3 linked regions of the Coturnix japonica genome follow. The protein of the gene in region 2 purifies or fractionates together with the protein of the main gene of each other region. This does not show direct contact. Links are inferred from orthologs where the notes say so. Each region holds a gene or a part of one and is shown on either strand. Other genes may lie near its edges. The genes, in order: MAP1S, STK4 and RASSF3.

Region 1 (5,556 bases), on a different chromosome or scaffold from region 2:
CCCATTCATTTCCCCCCCCAGGTGCTGTTCGCAGCCATGCAATGATATGGGGACACGTTGTGATGCCGGGGGTCTCTCCGTGTTATTTAGGGGGGGGGATTTGGGGGTCGCCCACCCGCCCACTCTGCGCATTGAGCGCCCCCTGGTGGCCGGAGTTGTGTCAGTCCTCCAGCGCTGCCCGCCGGTAGGGGGCGCTCTACCCACAACTCGCTGCTTCCGCGATGCACGATGGGAAATGGAGGCGAAGCTCGCAGCCACTTCCGCTTTGAGGGCGGGGGAGAACTGCGTTACCCAGAATGCACCGCGTGACGAGGAGAGGGGGCGGGGCTTGGAGTCACGTGTAGAGCGGCCAGGCCGCGGCCTCGGCTTAAGCAGCGTGGGGCTGGGGGGGGGGGGGCTGTAATGTGGGACCCCTCCCCTTATTGAGCTTCAGATGGAGCCCCACACTCATAGGGGGGCATGGGGGGGCTTGGAGGGACCTGTCAGCTCAATACAGCCCTGATGTGGGGTAGGGATGGGGGGCTTTGAAGCCTTGGGGGGGGGCAAAGCAGTGCCCATTTGGGGGTCCTGAGGCTGCAGCCATTGGCATTAAGGAGGAGGAGGAGGAGGAGGGGGGGGGGTCGTTCCTGCCTCCTCCTGCCCCCCCGCCTCGAGGTGCAGCCCCCCCCCCATAGCTGTGTTTGCTCAATGAATTGGCCCCCGGGCTGCACACAGCGCTGACGTCCATCCTATGGCTCATCCACATCCCAAGGGATGGCACCGCAGGGATGTCTCCCCTCGCTCAGCACAGTGTTGGGTTATTGTTGGGGGGGGGGGGACACAGCCCATAGACAGACTATGGGGTGAGGAGGGAGACCCTGCCTGCGTCAGTGGGTGTTTGCCCACCACCCACGGGCTGTTGAGGGGGGGGATAAAGGCAGCTGAGCCCCGCATTGTTGGGGATGGACGTTGGAAGATGGGCACTGCGTGGCTCTGCCTGCTCTGTGCAGCCAGCGCCGGCCTCGTCCCGCTGGGCAATGGGGGGGAACGAGGGCTGTGGGCAGCCCCACATCGTCAGGAGCCAGAGCTGGTAGGGGGCTGAGGGCTGGGGGCTGAGGGCTGGGGGCTGGGGGGGGGTCCCTGCTGTATGTACCCCTCATTGGGGGGACGTTGGCAGGGTTTTAAGGACGGGGGGGTCCGTGGTGTTGGAACCTGGGTGGTTTTTGGAGCTTATCTCATAGCTTGGGTTAGAAAAGGGCCATCCACGTGGGAATGGGGTGTGGGGATGAGCAGCTTTCACCTCTTTGTTCTCTCTCTGCCCATTGAGCTCCTGCCCCGAGGGGTCGATGCCAGAGGTGCCGGCGTTGAGGCGCTGCAGGAGGTGCTGGAGAAACTGCGACACAGGGAGATGCCACCGAGCACCAAGAAACCGGGCAGGGTCCCCTCGGTAGGGCCGGGGGGGTCTTTGGGGGGGTCTTTGGGGGGGGGGGGGCACCCAGGCCTGTTGCTGATAGTGACAGCTCTTATCTCACAGTGCCACCTCGGGGAGCCCTGTGCTGTGCGGGTGGGGGCTCGATTTGGGAAGCGTTGTAGCTGCCCCCCCGGCACCGTGTGCAACCTGTACATCCTGCATTGCTCCTAAGGGATGAGGACAACAAGGATGCTGCCGTCTATTGGGATGCTGCCGTCTATTGGGATGCTGCCGTCTATTGGGATGCTGCTGGGTTCATGCTGTGTTGTGTGATATGGGGGGGGGGGGCTATGGGTCTCAGCCCCCTCCCCACGTTGAGATCTGCTTCTCTCCGTTGATCTCAGTGCCTTCACCGATCCCTGGGGGTCGCATTAAACCACTTGGACCCTCTGCTACCGCCTGGCTCTGCTATTTGGGGGTTCAGTGATGCCATTGCAGGCTCTAAACCGAGCTGTGGGGGGGTGGGAGCAATAGGGATGCAATGGGGCCGTACCCAGCGCTATGATACACTGCAGTCTATGGTCCCAGAGCCGGGCCCCACCCGACGGCCCCACCCCGCCATCGCCCTTTTAAGCCCACCCCTCCCTCCACCCTCTCTCCCTTCACACCTCGCCCTCCCATTGGCCAGCGGTGACGTCAGTGGGCGTGGCTCGCCGGAGCTGACGCCAAAAAGTAGGCGTGGCTTAAAGGGGGCGGGCAGCGCGGCTGCGGGGGGCGCCGAAGATGGCGACGGCGGTGGCGGCGGCGGCTCCTCCCGGTCCGACCGTGGGGCCGCGCCGCTTCTCGCTGCTGGCGATCGTGGGTGGCGGATGTCACCGGCCGGGGCTGCTGGCGGCCGCCCTGCAGCAGCTGGAGCGAGGTGAGCCGTATATTGCATCCTATTGCGGCCCCATCGACGGGGCCCGGCCACATCAAAAGGCCTGAGGGGGGGGGAGGGGGAGTAAGGGGGGGGTCGTTGGGGCGGGGTCGTCGTGGGATGTGGGGGGAGCTGTGGGCACCGCCCCCCTCCATATGGATGCTCGGGGGAGGACGCAGCGCCAGCATCAATCAGTGCCTGCCCACCCCCGCGGTCCGCCCCCGTTCTCTTATATCTCCTATGTTGCCCCCACCTCCCCCATCTCCCCCATCTGCCCCATCTGCCCCATATCCTGGTGGTCTGCCCCATATCTATGGGTCAGCCCCACATTATGGGTCAGCCCCATATCTATGGGTCAGCCCCATATCTATGGGTCCAGCCCCATATCCTTGTGGTCTGCCCCATATCCTTGTGGTCTGCCCCATATCCTTGTGGTCTGCCCCATATCCTTGTGATCAGCCCCATATCCTTGTGGTCTGCCCCATATCCCTGTGATCAGCCCCATATCCTGGTGATCAGCCCCATATCCTGGTGATCAGCCCCATAACCTGGTGATCTGCCCCATATCCTTGTGATCTGCCCCCCCTCTTTTAGTCCCAGCCATCTGCCCCCACCTCCCATCCCTGGGGGCTGCTTTGTGTAGGAAGAGATGCTGGGGGGGGGTCTTAGCTCCTCCCTCATTGCCAGCCCAGAGCTGTGATACCTCAATGCCGGAGCAGCCCAACGCTGGGGACACCCATGTGTCACTATGGGGGGGGACCAAAGCCAATGGGGAACCATTAGAGAACGGCTCCAGCAGCTCTTTGTGCAACCCCACACTGCGGCTCATTGCGCCATCAGCAGCCGTTAGTGATGGTGGTGGCAGCCCTTCCCCCCCCTTCTTCCTCTTCCAAAGACCCCCTGAGAGATGGAGCTGCTCTATAGGTCCAATTAGTTGGAGCTGCAATGGGTTGGAGGCTTCCCTTCCCTTCTATGGCAGCTCTCACCCCGTTAATCCCATTCATTAGCACCGCCTTTGAGGAGGTGCTGGGAAGGCTCTGCCGTAGCCTCAGGGTTTGGGTTTGGGGTTGTGAGTCACATCATGGCATACAGAGCACACACCAGCAGTGCCACCATCACACCCAAGTCCCCACTCTATCCCCATTGATTGCAGTGGGGAATAGAGAGGGTGAGGAGTGGGGACAGTGGGGTTCTGTCGCCTGCTGTGTGTATGGGGACAGCAGGCAATGCCCATCCTGCAGGTATCCGCTCCTGGGACATCGACCTGACCTCCTGCAACCTGGATGAGCAGCTGAAGCTCTTTGTCTCCCGTCACTCCGCCACCTTCTCCAGCATCGTTAAAGGTACCGAGGTGACACTTAGAGCTGGGGACAGCACAGCAATGGGGCTGAGTGCCACGGTCCTTACCTGACCCCATGGCAGTGATTAATTCATGCGTCTCCAGAGGAGATGGGATGAGATGGGATGGGATGAGATGGGATGGGATGAGATGGGATGGGATGGGATGAGATGAGATGGGATGAGATGGGATGGGATGAGATGGGATGGGATGAGATGGGATGAGATGGGATGAGATGCTCTTTGCTACACAAGCATTTCGCTGCTTCTGGAAGCTGGATTTGGGGAGGAGGTGCTGACAGCCATCACAGCCATAGAGGCCAACATGGTGGTGGTGGTGAAGGGGCTTTATGTGTCTGTACCTTTATCTCAGCCATCCCTGGCTGCTGTTTGGGGCTGAGCCCCGTGATTCCCACGTGGGAAGCTGCTTCCTACACCAACAGCCACATTCATTCCTCCCCTTGAGGGTGGATGCTGGTGGGATTGTGTGGTCACTGTGGTGCCGGCGTGTCTCATCCCATGTGTGTTTGCAGCTCACCACCCCTTGGTGGGGCTGGGGTACCCCATGTCCACATTGTGTTTGGCTCCTGGGGGGGTGGGTGTTTGCTTGAAGCCAATGGAGATCCTCTGGGGGACCCGGCTGCTCCCTTTCCTGCCCCCCCTCCTGCAGCAGGAAGGAGATGGGAAGTGCAGCAGATCCCCTGCTGTCCCGGCTGGCAGCTGTCCCTCTTCCGTAGGGGAAGTGAACAGGTTCTATCCCCATCCTGGGCATGTCTATGTCACCCCCTGACCCACACACAGCCTGGGGTGGGGGGTATAGGGGGGTTGTCCTTATGATCCTGCCACGTTTGGGGAGGGATGGGTGGCAGCTGCTGTCCCTGCAGGTCAGCGGACCCTGCATCACCGCGGTGATGTGCTGGAGACCCTGGTGCTGCTCAACCCCTCCGACAAGTCGCTGTGTGATGAGGTGAGTGGGAAGGGGGGGGGGGGATGTAAAAGGTGTGTGAGGGGGAACAGGGGGGCAGCATCCTCACGTGTCCTCACGCCCCTGCAGCTGCGCAACCTCATCACGGATGTGTCGCAGCACAAGCTGCTGGTGTTTGCTGGGCCCTGCGTGGAGGAGACGGGAGAGTTGATGCTGCAGACCGGCTGCTTCTCGCTGCGGGACTTCATCCAGATCTTCACTGACAAGGAGGTGAGGGGCCGGGCTGTAGGGGGGGGGCACTGTCTGCTCACGTCTGCGGTGTCTCGGCTGAGCGAGCGGAGCTGTCTGTGCTGTGGGCGCATCCCTCCCTCTGCAGCATGAGGCTGGTGGGAGGGTGGCTGCTTTCTGAATCCCAATAAAGGAGACTGGGGGACACAGTTATAGCTGGGAGTGAGGCAGGGCTGAGTGAAGGCCCAGAGATTGCGTGGTGTGTGTTGGGGAGGGAGCTGCCCTATACAGAGGGACCCTGGGTGCTGCCTGGTGTGAGCAGGGCCCTGCCTGAAGCTCTCCCCTCACAGGTTGGGGAGATCCTGAGCTCCGCAGACCCTTCAGCCAAAGCCAGGCTGACCATCAGCTGCCCTGACTTTGGGGAGTGGAAGGACTCGGGCTTGGACCATCACAACCTGCAGGACTTCATTGAGCTGCGCTACAACCCAGGCTGCATCCTGCCTGAGATGGAAGGGCTGGAGGAGTTCATGGAGTACCTCTCGGAGTCATTGGAGCCCCAGTCCCCCTTCGACCTCCTGGAGCCCCCCACCATGGTGGGTTTCCTCAAGCTCTCCAAGCCCTGCTGCTACATCTTCCCAGGTGGGAGAGGGGACTCTGCTTTCTTTGCCGTTAATGGCTTCAACGTGCTGGTGAACGGCGGCTCCAACCCCAAATCATCCTTCTGGAAGCTGGTGAGGCACCTGGACCGCATCGACTCCA
Region 2 (4,871 bases):
TGCCTGTGGATGTTTTGATTCATTTTTGTTAGGAGGTTTTAAACTCTGTTTGGAAACCTGGAATATTCTTCTCTTTTTAGGCAATCTTCATGATTCCTACCAACCCACCCCCAACGTTTCGGAAACCAGAGCTCTGGTCAGATGCTTTCACGGACTTTGTGAAGCAGTGTCTGGTCAAGAGCCCCGAGCAGCGTGCTACTGCAACACAGCTCCTGCAGGTCTGCCTTGTCTTGGGAGAATGGGAATGTTAGAGAAGGCTTGCTGTAGTGTAGGCAGTGCTGCGCCTATTTGGCTGATGTAAAAACCCTGTACCCAACTTCAACCTTTCAGTTCTTCCTTAAGATCTAGTCTGAATCCTGTCTTTGTGGATGCTTTTGTTTGTTGGTGTTGTTTTTTTTTAACCTTCAGATTCTCACCAGCAATGCCAAGTAACTGGCTCTTAACCCACCAGAAAGGAACTAGATGAACTTTAAGGTCCCCTCCAACCCAAGCTATTCTGTGATTCTAAGTAACTGCTCAGAATGGTGCATGCATTTGTAGTTGGTTGTCGACAATTGAGCTGGTGAGGAATAAGTAGTGCTTGTGTGTGGGGAATGAGCCCCAGTAACCCCATGGTAATGATGTTCTACTGCTCTGTGTTAGTTCAAGTGCAGTGCTTACTAACTTTAACATACCACACAGCATCCATTTGTTAAGAGTGCCAAAGGAGCATCAATCCTGCGCGATTTGATTAACGAAGCGATGGATATAAAACTGAAACGCCAAGAGGCACAGCAGCGTGAACTGGATCAAGAAGATGAAGAAAATTCAGTGAGTATTTAATAGCTACAGTATACAGAGCTCAGCCTCTTGGACCTCGCATAATGCTAAGCTGCTTTGTTCCTTATTTTTATAATGTATTGTTCAGCTGCCCATGGGTTTTATATGATTCTTGAGTTTTGTACTTAGGGCTGCTTAACTTGATGTTTGAGCTCTGCTCAACCTTTATGTTTGAATGGGGCAGTCAGCAAATATGACCTTGTATTTAGTTCAGAGTGTAGCTAAGACCTGCCATAGACCATGAGTAAGTAGTAGCACATACTAAAGACTTAGTATGAGTTTCTGATTGGATGATATTATTTATGCAGCAGTGAGAAGTGTTTCATTGTAGAGTCAGATCTTATATTGCTCTCTTAATACAAACTAATATGTATGATGCACTATGATATAAGTGTGTTATGTTTCACTGTTGTTGTGCTTTAGAACATCCCTTATAGAAACTTTGTACTACACAAGAGCAACCGCCAGAAGTATGAGGTGAGGGCATGACAAGCGTGCAGGGGATTGCTGTGAATTTCTGTCCTTGGTGCCTTGTTCCAGTGATGACAGCATGTGAATACAGAAAGCATGTTGAAAGCTGTTTCATGAGCCTCTGCTTGCTTCAACCTGAATAAATGACACGGGCAGCAAAAGGCACCGTGCGCCACAGTCCTTTCCAAAGGTTGGACAGGAGGAGTGTGTTGCATTGTAAAAACAGATGTGTGCTGTTCATCTAGTTTTCCAGTTTAGGACTGTGTATTTATTCAGTGTGGAAGTAGTTTTATTGGCTCTGTTGCCACGATGTTGACCCAAAGAGTGTTGTCCCAACTGTCTCTCATTTGTTTCTGGGGTGGTGGTGCAGAGAGGTGGCATCTCTGCAGAGGAGCTGAGTGGTCTCTGTCCAGGCCTGTTTGTTTTCCTGAAGCTTCTGTTCTCTGTGTCTGCCGGCAGAAAAGTGTTCTCAAGAGCTTTGGAAGTGCTGTGGAAATTTCTGCTGTGGTTCTTTGTTAAATGATGTGTAGCAAAGGAATTTATTGCTTCCTCTCACCCATTCATCTCCACATAAAACATACTTCTCTTCCATTAACATCTTATATAGTCTTTCCCTCCACGTGCTTTGATATTTGGAGATGCATTTATACAGACATGCTTAACAGAGCAAAGAAAATGCGTAGAACACCAGAATGTTTAAGGTGTTCTGCCAGTGACATTGGGGTAGGTTTAGCCCAACAAGCTGGAATACTCGCTGTTTTCCCTCTGTCACTAATTCAGACCAGGAAGCCCAACATTTACACATAGGTTAAAGAACTGTGAACTTAATCCTCAAACCAAAATATGAGCTTTATTTTTTCAATGTTAATTTTCAGGATGAGGTGCCCAGAAACTTGTTTTACCACATTTAACAGGTACCACTGCTGTAGGTTTAGGAATTGATTTCTATTGCTGTTGTCCAGCTGCACATTGCTGGTAAACTAAGTAGACTGTAGTCATTTGGACCTCACTCTTCACTACTGATGGAACTTGTTTCAGAAGTTTCTTTTCTTGTGGGTTCAGTCACTTGAATTTTGGCAGCAATAATTCAATTTCTGCAATACTGATACCCGTTAATAAATGGTAGGGTAAGAAATAGTTTTCATCTGGTACAAAAAATTGATTAGACTTTGATAATTTAGTTCCTTTTTGGTTCAGTTTTCTTCAGTGCTTCTGAATTTTATAGAAATAAAACCACTCAAATGTTGCAAGCAGACTTATAAAATGGAGGGTAGTGGCTTTTCTTATGGTATACCACGCACAATACAGACTGAGAGCTGTTGTTGGTAATGAATGCCTCCTCAGTGAACTGTATTACTTAAGACAGGGTTTTAAATCAACTGTTATAACTGGCAGAGCGAATAGAAACATTGCTGACTGAATGAGGATTGCAGTCTATTTAGGGCTGGCTCACCAGGTCAGCAATGAGATGCTGGTTCTGTTGAGAAACTTCCAGTGATTGTTTCTGTTTTTATTTCACACTTTGGCAGTATGAAGAGTTTTCCTTACTTATTTGGAGGTATCAGGGAGAGACCTTAGTGCGTAGCATAAAATGTTGCTGGTTTCCATCTGTCTCTGTCAAGATCTCTGAATTAGTAAGATTTTCCAGTCTCTGTGAATACAACCACTTTTCTTTGGACTTCACCACCATCAGTAAAAACGTACTTCTGGTATCTTTGTACAGGAGGAAGATGAAACTGATTCGGGTACCATGGTGAGGGCGAGTGGAGATGAGACCGGTACCATCAGGGTGGTCAACACGATGAGTGATGGAGCCAATACAATGATAGAACACGATGGCACCTTGGAATCCCAGTTGGGTACAATGGTCATAAACACCGAAGATGAAGAGGAGGAGGGCACCATGAAAAGTAAGCATCTCTCAACTGAACAAACTGTTCTGAGGCGCTCAAGTTGAAATTTGTTCCATCCCAATAGAGAAACACTTGATAAGACTGTAAGCCTTATCACAAGGTGTAAGATTTAAAGTGATGCCATGTTGATTGCTGGTAGTCTGTGCAAGACCTATGTGGGTGCCCTCCAGTGTTTGTGAGGGGATACTGCTTTCTCCTAGCATGAGATTTCAGCAAAACCTGCTCCAGGGTTTTGGCAGACTTTAGCAAACACTGATCCAGTGCTTTAGAAATGGAATAGAAGGGGAGGTGTCAGCCAATGCAACACAGCCAGGGGAATAACGCTGTTGGGTGTTTGTGGTGTGAGGTGACCAGCAGGAGGCAGGTAGATGCTAAGAGGACTTTAATGCTCAGCCAAAGAGAATGGGATGTGTTAGCACCTCTGTATCAAATGAAGTTACTATTTCTGTACAAATAGAAACTGTGTGTGCTGTTCTGTTTCATGATTTACAGCAGAGGCAGTAGGATGGGCTGCCCAGGGAGGTGGTGGAGTCACCGACCCTGGAGATGTTCAAGGGAGGTTTGGACTTTGTGTTGAAGGATGTGGTTTAGTGAGAACTATTGGTGATGGGTGGATGGTTGGACTGGGTGATCCTGTGGGTCTTCACAACCTTCGTGACTCTATGATTATCTATGGGGCTCCTGCAGTGGCTATCAGAGCTGTGTCAGCAGCGCAGCGGTGCTTCAGTTGATCTTTGTGCTTAATAGGTGTTTATTTTCTCACCTTCTTTTTAAGATTGCAGTGCTTGTAACTCAGAAACTCGTGTGCAGAGCTTTGACACATGTGATAACCTTTCCTTTGCATGGATTTAGAGCAGAAACAGGAGGGTATTGCCTACTAATATGGTTTAGCATCTAGCCTCAAGAGGGAGCTCCAGAACAAGCTCTAAGAGCGTAGCTCTGCGGCTGGGATTTGCAGCCAGGCGTGGAGCAGAAGTGCTGGAGCAGCTCTGCATCCCACAGGAAGCACTTGGAAGCCCGGGGCCCAAGTGCTGTCTGACACTGGTACCACTGCCATGGTGAGAGGTTCAGCACAGGAGCATCCAGTGAAACCCGGCTGTGCTCAGCTCGCTGCTGCGGGTTGTGCTGCATTGCTGTAACGATTCCAATAGATATGATACTAATGAATATGATTGTACCAAACTGAAACTTGGCTTTTCCTTTGCACCTTACCCTCTTTCTTCCCCAGCACCATAACGCTGACATTCTTGCTCCTGCACACAGAGGTTCTGTAATGGTTTCTTAGGCACATTGAAGATCAGTGTCTTTTAGCAGCTTGCAGGTATCTTCCACGTGAATTGCCTACAGCTCTGTTTTGCAGCCATCTCCATATTCATGTTTGCTTAACGTGCAGTTAAATTGATTTAACTGTAAAGCTTATCTGCCTGCTGCAGAGCTCTCTGGAGCAAATTCCTTTTGTGATTCTGAACATAAAAGTAATAATGGTATTTGGAAGCAGCTGAATGTGAAGAAGCTCCATTGATTCATATTTTTGAAGAAGTCAGTGTTTTACTTGGCAGCTTGTGTTATGACTCACAATAAAACCTGCTTTAAATCAATAAAGAAGTGCAGATATTTCTTGCGTGGCATTAGCAGGAGAGATGAGCTTTCCTGGGGTGGCTGTGTGCC
Region 3 (5,458 bases), on a different chromosome or scaffold from region 2:
GTATCCCTTTATACTTCCAGGCTCTTGTGCTCACTGTCAGGGCACTGCACCCAGGCTACTACACAAGACGTGCTCTTCCTCTATGGAGAAAAATCAACAAGGCATTTGTCTCTGTGCTGCACTGAGTACTGACAACAGACATGCCTTGCAGCTCATAAAGCCATCTGGCTAAAAGCAGCAGAACTCCTGTCCTTCTGTTGTGCGCACTGCTGACCTGCAGTTAACTGTCTGGGTACAGAGCTCCAGCCAGTCATGCCAGGGGTTCTGGTAAATGCTGCAGCAGAAGGAATCACAGAATCACAGAATGACCCGGGTTGGAAGGGACCTCAAGGATCATGTAGTTCCAACCCCTCTGCCTAGCAGGGCCAAGGAAGGGATGACTGTGAGTGCTGGATATGAGCTAAGCCCTGATTCAGGCTTGGCCAGTGCACTGTTGGGTGACAAAGAAAGCGAGTTCACCTCTCGGTGCTTTCCTTGGCATCTGGTTCACTCACAGCACTTCAGAGCAGGGTCTGCTTCTTCCAGATGAGGAGTTACTGTTCTCTGCAGATGAGTGGGAAAATGGGCTTAGAACAGCAAACCCATGGGAACACAAACCCTGGGCTGCAGTGTGATGCCTTTCCTGCCCACACGGAGCCCGAGAAATTCTGGTAATCTTGGTCTTCAAACAAAATAAAGGAAAATCTGAGAATGGCAAGTCATTAGAAAACTGCCCACAGAAAGAACGGGGAGGGAAAGAAGAGCTTTACCCCCAATCTGCTCCAAGGTTCTCACTCGTTAGATGAAACTTTAAGCCAACCCTGGAACACAGAATGTTTGGTGATACAAATGGTAAGTCTAGGCATAGCTCCAGCAACACAACCCTACATCACATGGGAATAAATACGAATGAACTCCTGCTGCCAGGATAGCTGAAAAGGTCTATTCCCTTTCAAAAAGCATTAAAACGTATATTCCAGAAATTGCTTGCCAAAAAAATATCCTTTGAAGGAAAAAAAAATCACTAATACCTGCACTTCCTTCTTTCCTCCACGTTTTACCTCTTTCTGTAAGGAGGAATCTATTTCTTTAACAGTGCTGCTAATTAGGAGCCATTTAGATAACGCACCATAATTTGTTCTAAGGGGCCTTGTGGTTTTCTAAAGGATGATTTAGAAGTCTTGTAATAAGGGAGATTCACCACACGTGATTGTAAAGCCTCCATCCTTCCCTTTGCAGGCTGGTACCCAGAGGACACCCACTTATCTAAAACTCTTAGAAATGCCTCATCTTCCAAACACCAAATGATAAGGCAAACAACACAAATACTCCAGGGCTGCTGTGCTACATAATGCTACATACCATCAAGCCGTCAGCGTGATGTAGGACGCTGACAACTATCACTACACAACACTCTCAGATTGAAAGAAAACTAGAATAGTAGAAGAGAAAATTGCTCTTTCCTGCACATCATTTCATTGGTTTAAGCCAGAATAAGCTGGGCTGTGTCTGCTCCCAACTGCTCTGTGAGGAGCAGCCAGACTGGGCAGCAGCAGTCTGTGCCTGCACAGATGAATGGCTTTTCCCCCCAAAATAGAGGTGAAAAGGCGAAGGGCCAAGCAAGTCATGAGCACCGCACCAGTTAAGGCCCCCTTGAAAAGTAATCCAGAATAACAGCAAGAGCTCAGATACTACCAAGCATCTTTTTCAGAGGAATCTCATTACCCTTGGCTTTCTTCCTGGGCTGAGGTCCAGAAATTCCGGTATTGCCTTATTTTTTCCAAGAAATATATTGCTTGAATAATGTGCACCTTGTGCACTGCATTTAACAGATGGTCACTGATCTCCTTGAACTCTTTTTTTCCATTCTGATCATTCTTCCCTGAGTTACATGAAGGTATTTTTCCAGTTTTTAGCAGAAGCTGGAAAACCAACTGATGGATTCCACACCAGAACAGCATGAGAAGCAGAAGGAACCTTCTCTTGGTGGTTCCTCATTCACTGCAGCCATCCTCCCACCTCACTTTATCACACGTACCAAGGACAACATGGAACCCCAGAGATAATCACAGCCCCCACCCGTGAAACAAGGATGGCAAAGCCCAGCCCTGCTATAACATTCTGCCACCACTCCATAGGGACATGGCAGCTCTTTCTGCTGAGACAGAACCCTGTTCACCTCAGTTTCCACATTCTCCCCCTGCTGTCCCCTCTGACTGCCTCCCCGTCCCAGGGGAACTCCTTACTGCTTTTAGTGCTTACCATGCAGGTCAACATCTCTGACTCTGGTCTCATCTGAGGGCAGCTGGCTACTGAGTGCCAACTCCAACAGGGTGACCCAAGTACAAGTAATACCTCCATCTCTCTGATTCAGAATCCTCGTGACAATTCAGTGCACAGTTCCTTCTTTACCTGCTGCAGGCCGCCTGGAAGATGCTGTCGTTTTGCTTTTCAGATAAGGCAGCAAAGCTCTCTACCATTGCCCAGAACTACCTGGATACCTCCCAGCACTGCCGCGCCTGCCAGGCAGCTCAAAGCCTCTGCCAGGAATTGGCACTGTAACTCCTGCTGTAGCTGCTGCTTCTCAAGGGGTGCTGACAAGGACCATGGCTTTATCCACCGGGGGTCACCAGCCTTGCTGCCACCCCCACAGCTGGGTCAGATGAAGAGTGTGGTGTGCACTGGTGCAGATGGGGATTTGCCGCTCTGCACCAATCTTTCAGCCATTTGGGTCCATCCACTCAGACCGTGGGGTGCCAGCAAGCACTTGGGCTCCAGTAGCGGTCTGTGCGTGACTTTGTTCCCACTCCCTCTCATCTCCATACCGCTTTATGGCTTTTAAATGTTACATCCATGCTAGGCTATAAATGTTGAATGCTCCCTGTGCTACTTTACCAGAGAGCAGCCACGAGGACTATGGCTGATAAAAATGGAGCTTGTCACGGAGGAGAAAGAAAAGCAGCGCGAGCTGTAATCGTGCTGAGAAAACACTGCTGGGAGATGCATAATCCAACATGACACTTGAGGGCTCTTGCCACAGAACAGCCAACCATAAAAGAAAATAATAGGATTCTTAAGGTCTACTTTCTTTCCCATAACCGCACTTACACGTCCTGTCGCAACGGTGCAAGAACTTAAATCATAAGAAATCATTAAAAATCGTATTTTCACATCGCTAGTATTTATTTCCTTTCAGAATATTAACTGTAAGAATAGAGCTGCGGGAGGTAATGACAGGAACCTGGTAAGAGTTCCTAACAACCTAAGGCTGCCACATCACCGCCGCTCCGTTCCCGCCCACGAAGGACGCGAGCCCCCACCCGGCACCGCACGGACGGGACGGGGCAGAAGGGCCGAGGGGTGTGTGTGTATGGGGCCGCTCACCGGCGCAGCGCAGGCCCTGCGAGACGACGAAGCGGCAGCAGAGGTCGCACCACGCTCCCGCCGCCGCCGGCACGAAGCGGTGCGGGGCGCTCGGAGGAGCCGGACGGCAGCAGGACGAGCCGGGGTCGGAGCCGAGGTCGGGGCCGGGTCCCTGTGGGGCCGCCGCCATGCGGGTTCCTGTGGAGAGCCGCTGAGCGCGGCCCTGCCCGCCGTGCCCGGGGCTCGGCTGCGTGCGGGAGGCGCCGCCCGGCGCTCCTCAGCCCGGTACCAGTGACACCGCGCGGCGCGCAGGGGGTGGCTGCGGAGCGTAATGAGCATCCCATAATAAGCCGCTTTTAGACACCGTGCCTTTCGAGCTCGGGTTCCCTCAGGAGGGTTCCGGAGAGGCGGGAGCGGCACGGACCCGCAGCGCTCCACAGTGCCTCAGAGCTCCTCCGAGTTACCGCCGTGCACGGAGGGGGCAAGAGAAGGACCCCACACGGACAACTACGGGACAACAAAATAATGCCCACCCTCTTCCATCCGGCCTTGTTAACCCTTATGGCGGCACTATATCCAATATTATACTACTGTTTACCACTATGACAGCACTTGGATTCAATTAGCGCTAACAAGAGGACTCCTCCACAGCCCAAGAACTCCAGCACTCCCACAGGGAGCTCGTTTTCATCATAACGGGTATCAGTTCTAAGGCAGAAAGGATGAGTGGATCTACTGGCAGCCATGCTGGGTGTTCAGTTGTCTGGGACACCACCAACTAATGTTGTGCTTTGCTGCTTCAGATGATGCCACGAAGATGATCAGGGGGCTGGAGCACCTCCCCTATGAGGACAGGCTGAGGGAGTTGGGTTTGTTCAGCCTGGGATGAGAGAAGGTTGCGGGGTGACCTCATTGCAGCCTTATAGTACCTTGAGGAGAATTAACTCCCAGGAGGGAGTTAAACTCTTCGAAAGGGCTGATAATAGCAGGACACGGGGAAATGGTTTTAAGTTAAAGAGGGAAGATTTAGGTTGGGATGTTAGGGGAAGTTCTTCACTAGGAGAGTGGTTAGGTCCTGGAACAGGCTGCCCAGGGAGGTTGTGGATGCCCCGTTGGAGGTGTTCAAGGCCAGGTTGGACGCCCTGGGCAACCTGATCTAGTAAAAGGTGTATGTTTGGTGGCCCTGCCAGGCAGGGGGCTGGAACTACATGATCCTTGAGGTCCCTTTCAACCCAGGTCATTCTGTGGATACTGTGTGATTTCGTGTGATTTGAAGCTTATTTCATAGGAGCATACAGGGAAATAAGTATTACAAAGTTTACTGAAATGAACAAAAAATGAAACTGGAAAAACAGAAGAAAGGACACAGCCCACAGTCAGTGGTCAGTGATGTATTTAAGTCATTCACTCATGCATTTTTCACAATTTCACTATGACGACAGATTTGTTTGAGTAACAGATAATTAATATACTACGCTAAACCCCCCAAAACAGCAAACCAGCTTCAGGAGGAAGAACCATATATTACTTTCTATTACTTCTTTTGGCAAATCAGTGGCATGACTGATAGCATCGGGACACTTAGCATGAGCCAAGAGTTCCATGGTATCACATGCCGCACCTCAACAGGAAAAACATACTGACTTCATAAGAAGGCAATCAGCGGATCACGAACTGATTACATCCTTAGATAGCGCTTAGTTAAAATTACTTTCCCTCAAGTAATTTTAACAAGATTAAGATCATCGATGTATTTAGCAACATTAAAACCAGCAATGTTTAAAATGAACATAACAGAACGTAAATCAGCTTCAACCATGAAAAACAATGCCGCACGTATTTCCATATACAGACAATATAATCACAATGAGCTTTCCCATTCAGATTGCTTCGGTATAAAGGACGTTGAAAATCACATATTCCAACTCACGCTAAGTTTCTCTTAAAATTCAGAGCCTTTGAAATAGCAACGGGTTACCAACATAATGTTGAAAATTATATATAAAGTCAGCAGTGCCTGTGGTTCACCTCTCCAAGATCAGGACTGGTTACATTACTTTTCTAACGCCACTGAGGAGGCACAATGCTGTCTCTTCAGCTCACTGCTCAAAAAACC

Evidence for each region.
Region 1: the proteins of STK4 (region 2) and MAP1S purify together in Homo sapiens (affinity purification with mass spectrometry; 3 studies listed by BioGRID and IntAct, with this or other methods). This does not show direct contact. The link is inferred for Coturnix japonica from reciprocal best matches to the Homo sapiens genes STK4 and MAP1S.
Region 3: the proteins of STK4 (region 2) and RASSF3 purify together in Homo sapiens (affinity purification with mass spectrometry; 5 studies listed by BioGRID and IntAct, with this or other methods). This does not show direct contact. The link is inferred for Coturnix japonica from reciprocal best matches to the Homo sapiens genes STK4 and RASSF3.

The regions. Positions count from the first base shown.
Region 1 is NC_029543.1:2,348,990-2,354,545, forward strand, and holds the start of MAP1S (microtubule-associated protein 1S), read left to right. Parts: upstream 1-2,126; 5' UTR 2,127-2,173; coding exon 2,174-2,309; intron 2,310-3,547; coding exon 3,548-3,649; intron 3,650-4,528; coding exon 4,529-4,611; intron 4,612-4,698; coding exon 4,699-4,839; intron 4,840-5,147; coding exon 5,148-5,556. Other genes in the region: cocaine- and amphetamine-regulated transcript protein-like, read left to right, coding at 731-1,069, 1,307-1,426, 1,514-1,621. UniProt on the Homo sapiens protein: Microtubule-associated protein that mediates aggregation of mitochondria resulting in cell death and genomic destruction (MAGD). Plays a role in anchoring the microtubule organizing center to the centrosomes. Binds to DNA. Plays a role in apoptosis.
Region 2 is NC_029535.1:4,575,403-4,580,273, reverse strand, and holds part of STK4 (serine/threonine-protein kinase 4), read left to right. Parts: intron 1-80; coding exon 81-218; intron 219-681; coding exon 682-810; intron 811-1,242; coding exon 1,243-1,296; intron 1,297-3,013; coding exon 3,014-3,200; intron 3,201-4,871. UniProt on the Homo sapiens protein: Stress-activated, pro-apoptotic kinase which, following caspase-cleavage, enters the nucleus and induces chromatin condensation followed by internucleosomal DNA fragmentation.
Region 3 is NC_029516.1:30,589,471-30,594,928, reverse strand, and holds the start of RASSF3 (ras association domain-containing protein 3), read right to left. Parts: upstream 3,548-5,458; 5' UTR 3,533-3,547; coding exon 3,364-3,532; intron 1-3,363.